Linked DNA regions of Arabidopsis thaliana. The protein of the gene in region 2 purifies or fractionates together with the protein of the main gene of each other region. This does not show direct contact. Each region holds a gene or a part of one and is shown on either strand. Other genes may lie near its edges.

Region 1 (3,754 bases), on a different chromosome or scaffold from region 2:
GATGTAATAATATCAAAATTACCGTTTCACTTTCCCACTATAAAAAGAAGTAACAATAAAAATTCTTCCTAAAGTTTTTGCTTGCCCGGAAAAAAAATGAATTACATCAAACAATTTATCTTGGCAATTTGCTTTTATCTAGTCTTAACATGTCAAGATCATGTTTTAGCCCGCGACACCACCACGAGAGACATCGTAGTCCCGAAGATTTCCGAGTGGCAAGTTACGGTTGCTAACGGTTTGACCACTGGTGAAACTCTTTTCATCCATTGTAAGTCTAAGGAAAACGATCTAGGTGATATTAACCTGAAGTTCTTAGATAGATTTTCTTGGAATTTTGGAGAAAATATGCTTCACTCAACTTTGTTTTGGTGCTATATGAGCAAAGATGATGGTCATATGAATGTAAAAGTGTTTTGGGATGATGTTATTCTATTTCATAGATGTGATTGGAAGAATTGTGTTTGGACCGCAAAGAATGATGGCCTTTATCTTTGGAATTCTGCAATCGGTGAAGATGTACTGTCGGAGAAATGGAAATCTGGATGGTGAAAACATATTTTTGATTTGTTGGTAATTTTTTAACTATTATATGTATCTGTTAATTTTGGCAGGCAAAAAAAACTGAAGTAATACTTTACTTTTGTCATAAATTCTCTCTTATTTTTTTGTATTTTTCATCGAAGATTTTTGTTTTCTTCGATCGTGTCTTGGATTCAATTGTTTTTGGACTGTTCAAGACAATGGTTTGCTGCTTTATAATCCACCTCATCATAGAGGTTTTAGATTGATATATAAAGGGGATTCACCATGATTCAATTCATTGTTGAAGTCGAGAGATCTTTGAAAGTTTATTCGAGTATAATCCATATTAAAGAAAATTCAACCATGTATTTTGATCACGATATACTAATAATTAATTATCAGTATGAGATTTTATGTATTTGTTATTTATGGGGGACTCATGGGTCAATCATTTCTAAGAAAGTATGGATCATGGATTCGTTTTCGTTCAACTTATTTATGACCATATATACAAGTACTAATGGTGACACTAGAATACATTGTATGACAATAGTCTCTTGAAAACAAAGTCAAAGCATTAAATATAGAGATCGGAGTCAACAATTTAGAGTTTATAGAATTAAAAGGAAAGGAGGATAAGAAGAAGAAGAAGAAGAAAAACTTAGCAAATATATGAACAAATATATAAAGACATTGTAACACATTTACCTCTGACATAAGTTTTTTTACATTTGACAAGAAAGATTTTAGAAAAATGGGAAAATCTTTGCTAAGTTTATTTGTTATCCTCCTTTCGTTTGATTCTATAAACTCTTATTTGATGCCTCCTCTCTTCAGAAAATTCAATGTCCAAATAGTAAATCAACTTGAGTTTCACAAGATACTGAAAGTTCATTGCAAGAGCAAATCTCACAATTTCCCAATCACATATCTTAAAATTGGTGAAAGTTTTCAGTTTAAATTTAAAATTTATCCAAAAACTCAGTATTGGTGTAATTTATGGCAGGTGAGAAAACACATTTTTAACTTTTTTATACATTTCTTTACATATTGTCATGTATAAAAATTAAGATGAGTATCAGTGATTGTACTATAAATTTTTGACCAACTTTTTATTTCATCTTTGTTTGTTATAGGGACCAAATTACAAACACCATGTGGTTTTTGATGCGTTTCGTCCAGACAAAGATTTTATAGATGGTACATGTACTGGTATGCATCCTAATGTATGTAGATGGACTGCAAAAGAAGAAGGAGTCTATGTCCGCAACAAAAAGTTCGAAGGAGAATATTTCATGTATACATGGGATGGTCCATCAAAACTTGGAAACATCTCTCCAGTGTCTGCACCTACAAGTGAATCAGAATTGGACTCATCAGTCTAACCCCACATAGATCTAAAAAAAATTATATCATGATGTATAATCTTTGGTATCAATAATTGTATGTTGGTTTCAATTACAAGCCCAACTATTGTTTGGGCCTAATATTTATATATGGGCCTTAGTCAAAGATTAAAAAAAAAACATTTCTTCTTCCCAAAGCCAGAAAATATCAGTACAAGAGTACAAGAGAGAAAGAAAGGAACCTCGAACTCAGAGAAATTGAGAGAAGAGAGAAGAATCATGGGACAAGGACCATCGGGAGGATTGAATCGGCAAGGAGATCGGAAACCTGATGGTGGAGATAAGAAAGAGAAGAAGTTTGAGCCGGCGGCACCACCGGCTCGTGTAGGGAGGAAGCAAAGGAAGCAGAAAGGGCCAGAGGCGGCGGCGAGACTTCCGACGGTGACTCCGTCTACTAAGTGTAAGCTCCGGTTACTGAAATTGGAACGGATCAAGGATTATTTGTTGATGGAGGAAGAGTTTGTGGCGAATCAAGAGAGGTTGAAACCTCAGGAAGAGAAAGCTGAGGAAGATAGATCTAAGGTTGATGATCTTCGTGGTACACCTATGAGTGTTGGGAATTTGGAAGAGTTGATTGATGAGAATCACGCTATTGTTTCTTCTTCTGTTGGACCTGAGTACTACGTTGGGATTTTGTCCTTCGTTGATAAAGATCAGCTTGAACCTGGATGTTCGATTTTGATGCATAATAAGGTATGTGAAATTAGGGTTTAAGAATCTTGTTTTTGTTGTGATTACGATTGTGTGTTGTTGTGGATTTAGGGTTGCTGATTTGTTTTATGTTAGGTTCTCTCTGTTGTTGGGATTCTACAAGATGAAGTGGATCCAATGGTGTCTGTGATGAAAGTTGAGAAAGCTCCTTTGGAGTCATATGCTGATATTGGAGGTTTAGAAGCTCAGATTCAGGAGATTAAGGAAGCTGTTGAGCTTCCTTTGACTCATCCTGAGTTGTATGAAGATATTGGTATTAAACCACCAAAGGGTGTAATTTTGTATGGTGAGCCTGGAACTGGGAAGACATTGCTTGCTAAGGTTTGTCTTTGTACCTAGAATCTAATGAGTATTAGTGTTTGTTTGCAGTATAGCTTAGTTTACTACTTAACTTGTCAATTACATTCAGTTAATCGTTTGTTCGGTCAAAGGCCAGACCTTTGTTGTGCTGCTGGTCACCTAGATTTCATACGTTTGAACATAGCGAGAAATTTGTTCTCATGGATAAGAATCTTTTGAGTCACTTGTTTCTATTAATGTCTTCCTTTCTCGTTTCTCTCTGTCACAAGCATGAGATAGTTGCAATTTGGTGGTGTTATCTAATGGGAATAAGCTCTCTAACTTGATCTTATTTTAGGCGGTTGCGAATTCAACATCAGCTACTTTCTTGAGAGTTGTTGGTAGTGAGCTGATTCAGAAGTATTTGGGAGATGGTCCTAAGCTTGTGAGAGAACTTTTCAGAGTTGCTGATGACCTTTCACCATCAATCGTCTTCATAGATGAGATTGATGCTGTTGGTACCAAGCGGTAAGTTAAACTATTTTCATAAACCTGATCTATAACCCATTGATAATGGTTATCTGATTACTTGTTGTTTGAAAGAACAGGTATGACGCTCACTCAGGAGGTGAACGTGAGATCCAAAGAACTATGTTGGAACTTCTGAACCAGCTTGATGGATTTGATTCAAGAGGAGATGTTAAGGTCATCCTTGCAACAAACAGAATCGAGAGTCTTGACCCAGCACTGCTTCGACCTGGACGGATTGATAGGAAAATCGAGTTCCCTCTCCCAGATATCAAAACAAGAAGACGTATCTTCCAGGTAATATA
Region 2 (3,754 bases):
AGCCATTAGACCATTTCGATTTTGCATACGCTTTTCACAAGTAAATTTTAGAAATGAACAAAATTGCAACTAAACTGAAATGGACATCTCCAAATGTTAGAATGAGTTCCAACTTCCAACACACTAGTTTTTGTGCTTATGGATCTGTTATCTTCTTATTAAGCCTAATAAACTACCACTATCTAAACTACTATACCCTACCGGACACTGTAACAAAACCTCTCTTAATAGCTCAGGGCAGATAAACATCCGATACCTACACTGTAACAAAATCTGTAGACGATTAAGAGCGCAACATAATACGTTTTATGTCACTTCTTAGAATGATATAGTAAGGCAGAGATCCTCACCTTTTCCCTTCTGGGACATACACAAAAATAACTTCTGGCAACGCTAACAGCTCAACTCAGCTTGTATTTTCTTCTTTTACTACACTTTTAAGTTTACACTCCTTCTGTGGATTTTTTCGTTTCGCTTGAATATGATGCACAAACGCAGCTACTATAACATGGAGCTTTGGGGGAGGCTTGCTTGTTGAAGAGACATTATGACCAGCATCCTTTAAAGCTTTAGCCACATGCTTTTGGGCTTTCTGGAAGTGTATATTACACAGTGCAGGAACAGTCGACGCAAGTGTTGGTTTTCCACAAAGTAATGGTCCTGCTGGGGCTCTGAATGTACAATGGAAACAATGCAGAGTTAGGTGAGAATTGCTTAAATTATCATTATATGCTAATTACAAACCAGCATACAAACTTACCTATATATGAAATCTAGGTTGTAAAAACTCAAATCTGAAACTTGGTTTATGTTTTAATACTACCACAATGGGACTATTCTAACACAAATACATTTTCAAAGGGTGATATAGTTATGCTAATACTCATATCCTGACTATTTTACAAATACACATCAAAACAGACAACTTCAAGCATCTGCGTCAGTTATGTGTATCAACCAGAACAACAAAGCACATAGAGCAATATTTTAACACAAGGCAACTACTGAATCTATAAATGATTACCGACGATCACTATCTCGATGTCCAAAGCTAAGACTTCTCCCAAACCCTATGAAAAACTTTGAAAAAAAGTCAAGTGTCAATCCCAAATCCTTTCTGCAAACTTGAAAAAAAAAGAGAAACAATCTCTTGGCTCACTACATAACACAAAACAGCTTTGCAGTTTCAATTCATCATCACTACAACATCTTCACCAACTATAATATGCAAAGAACACAACTTGAAGCATCAATTACTTTGGTTTATACGAGAATTTTAAAACCAAATAAAGGGAAAGTGAAACAAACCGTTTAATGACGTTTGTGCAACCAGTGTAGAGCTTCTGCTTACTATCCTTGAGAATATGCAATTGACAGTATTTCGTAAGCGCCATAGCTTTAGCTTTGCATCCATACATACAACTCCCACAATTACTATTCGCATACTGATCACTCTTAACACCATCATTGTTAGTAACATTGTCTCCACTACCTTCAACAGCATCACCACCATCTCCGATATCTCCCTCTTGACCAAGCCTCCGTCTCTTATTCGATTGATTATTTTCGTCTTTAAACTGACTAATCCCATACTTCCACCAATAATCCCTGTGTTGTGCCTTGACATCCTCCATTAAAGCCCAATAATTGTCTCTATAACACTTGGCCAGCTGCTTCAGGTTGTGTGATCGGCGTTTGAGAAGCTCCGACCGGGTTATGTGACTGGAGCGTGCGAGGATTTCATCTTCTTGTGACATCGTAATCGGTGAATTCGATGTCGACGGTAAGCCGCTGGTGCTAGGGTTAGGATTTAAGGTAGAGTTTCGAATTAGGGGCTCGGCTGAGGTGGAAGCCACTGCGGTTGTTGATGCAGCGCCGGAGGAATACGGAGGCCGTGGTGGTTTCGAGGAGAAAGGGTTTTGCTGAATGTTCTTGGAAGCTGACGCCATTGCCGTCGTCGGAAAATGACAGAGCTTCAAAATCAGATGTTCTTGTCGGGAATGAAATTATTAATTTTTAAAAAATAATATTAGTACTTAAATTTTAAAATATATTAAAGCCCATAAAATGTCCATTGGGCTGACATATTCAACAAATAGGCCCAAACTCAATTGGATGTGAGACCTAAGTTTCTGAATTAGGTCAATATAAATACTAAAATCATATCTGATAACGAACACGAGCTTACCGATTCTCTTCGTCTCAACATTTAGGGTTTCAGAGATCGGCTGATTTTCACATCCACAAGTATGGCGACTCAAATCAGCAAGAAGAGAAAGGTGAATTGTGATTTCATTTTTTGTTTTCAGTGGACTTCTCTAGCTGTATCGTATTGGAACTGATCTGGTTACTGTGTTTGTAGTTTGTAGCGGATGGTGTATTCTACGCTGAATTGAATGAGGTTCTCACAAGAGAGCTAGCAGAGGATGGTTACTCTGGTGTTGAGGTTAGGGTTACTCCAATGAGGACTGAGATTATCATCAGAGCTACTCGTACTCAGAATGTTCTTGGTATGTTTGTTTGATCATTTCTTCTCTCTTTCGATTTTGAATGTGTTTCGAGATCTGATATCGAAAATGTTGGGTTTTAGGTGAGAAGGGGAGGAGAATTAGGGAATTGACATCTCTTGTCCAGAAGAGATTCAAGTTTCCAGTTGACAGTGTTGAGCTCTATGCTGAGAAGGTTAACAACAGAGGTCTCTGTGCCATTGCTCAGGCTGAGTCTCTACGTTACAAGCTTCTCGGTGGTCTTGCTGTTCGCAGGTACGACATTTCTCTAGTATGTTTTTGTGTATTCTCTCTCAATTGCTGTTGTTATTGTTTAGCTTACTTGGTCCTAATAGTGAAATGTATAGGATACAACTGTAATTATATTTCTCAGTGGGGTTTCTGTAAATGCGCACTCTTTATAGATTTTGTGTAATAGTTATGTTTCTATCTACTGAACACACTGATGATACATAATGTGTCGACAAGGCTATTGCATCTCTTTTTTCACTTGAACTTCTCATCCTTAATATTGCAATGGTATATTTGATATACAGGGCCTGTTATGGTGTTTTGAGATTTGTTATGGAGAGTGGAGCTAAGGGATGTGAGGTCATCGTGAGTGGAAAGCTCCGTGCTGCACGTGCTAAGTCCATGAAGTTCAAGGATGGTTACATGGTTTCATCTGGTCAACCAACTAAGGAATACATCGATGCTGCAGTGAGACATGTTTTGCTCAGACAGGTATGCTTTCTAATGAGTCTCTTATCTACCATTTAGTGAGTAAGTATACCGGCTTTGTCTAATCTTGTTGGTTCAATCCGTATTTGCAGGGGGTGTTGGGAATCAAGGTGAAGATCATGCTTGACTGGGACCCTACGGGCAAATCAGGACCAAAGACACCATTGCCTGATGTTGTGATCATTCATGCTCCTAAAGATGATGTTGTCTACTCTGCACCTGCTCAGGCTGCTGCTCCAGTTACTCTTGTGCAAGAAGCTCCACTCACAACCGTAGATTACCCTGAGATGATTCCTCCAGTGGCCTAGAGAAGACCTTTTTTACTATTACTCCATGGGATTTTGTTCTTTTTGTTATAACTTTTCTACTTTTGACACTCTCTAGTCGTATCTCTTATATCCTCCAAGCAGACAAGTTTTTTCTCATGTTGTTTCTTAACCTATGTCAAGTTTTCTGGAGGTTGAATGCTTTTAGTTCCATGATTTTTTTGTTCTTAAGACTCGTAATAAGAAAAAGAATGACGACAA

Evidence for each region. The genes of interacting proteins can lie anywhere in the genome.
Region 1: the proteins of AT2G31610 (region 2) and RPT2a purify together in Arabidopsis thaliana (affinity purification with mass spectrometry; 2 studies listed by BioGRID, with this or other methods). This does not show direct contact.

Annotation. Positions count from the first base shown.
Region 1 is NC_003075.7:14,310,219-14,313,972, forward strand, and holds the start of RPT2a (regulatory particle AAA-ATPase 2A), read left to right. Parts: upstream 1-2,064; 5' UTR 2,065-2,150; coding exon 2,151-2,624; intron 2,625-2,717; coding exon 2,718-2,963; intron 2,964-3,279; coding exon 3,280-3,449; intron 3,450-3,529; coding exon 3,530-3,746; intron 3,747-3,754. Other genes in the region: AT4G29035 (Plant self-incompatibility protein S1 family), read left to right, coding at 97-552; AT4G29037 (plant self-incompatibility protein S1 family protein), read left to right, coding at 1,280-1,531, 1,662-1,910. UniProt on the Arabidopsis thaliana protein: The 26S protease is involved in the ATP-dependent degradation of ubiquitinated proteins. The regulatory (or ATPase) complex confers ATP dependency and substrate specificity to the 26S complex.
Region 2 is NC_003071.7:13,448,135-13,451,888, forward strand, and holds the start of AT2G31610 (Ribosomal protein S3 family protein), read left to right. Parts: upstream 1-2,106; 5' UTR 2,107-2,249; coding exon 2,250-2,279; intron 2,280-2,362; coding exon 2,363-2,510; intron 2,511-2,590; coding exon 2,591-2,762; intron 2,763-3,043; coding exon 3,044-3,230; intron 3,231-3,319; coding exon 3,320-3,535; 3' UTR 3,536-3,754. Other genes in the region: AT2G31600 (INO80 complex subunit D-like protein), read right to left, coding at 407-671, 1,309-1,949.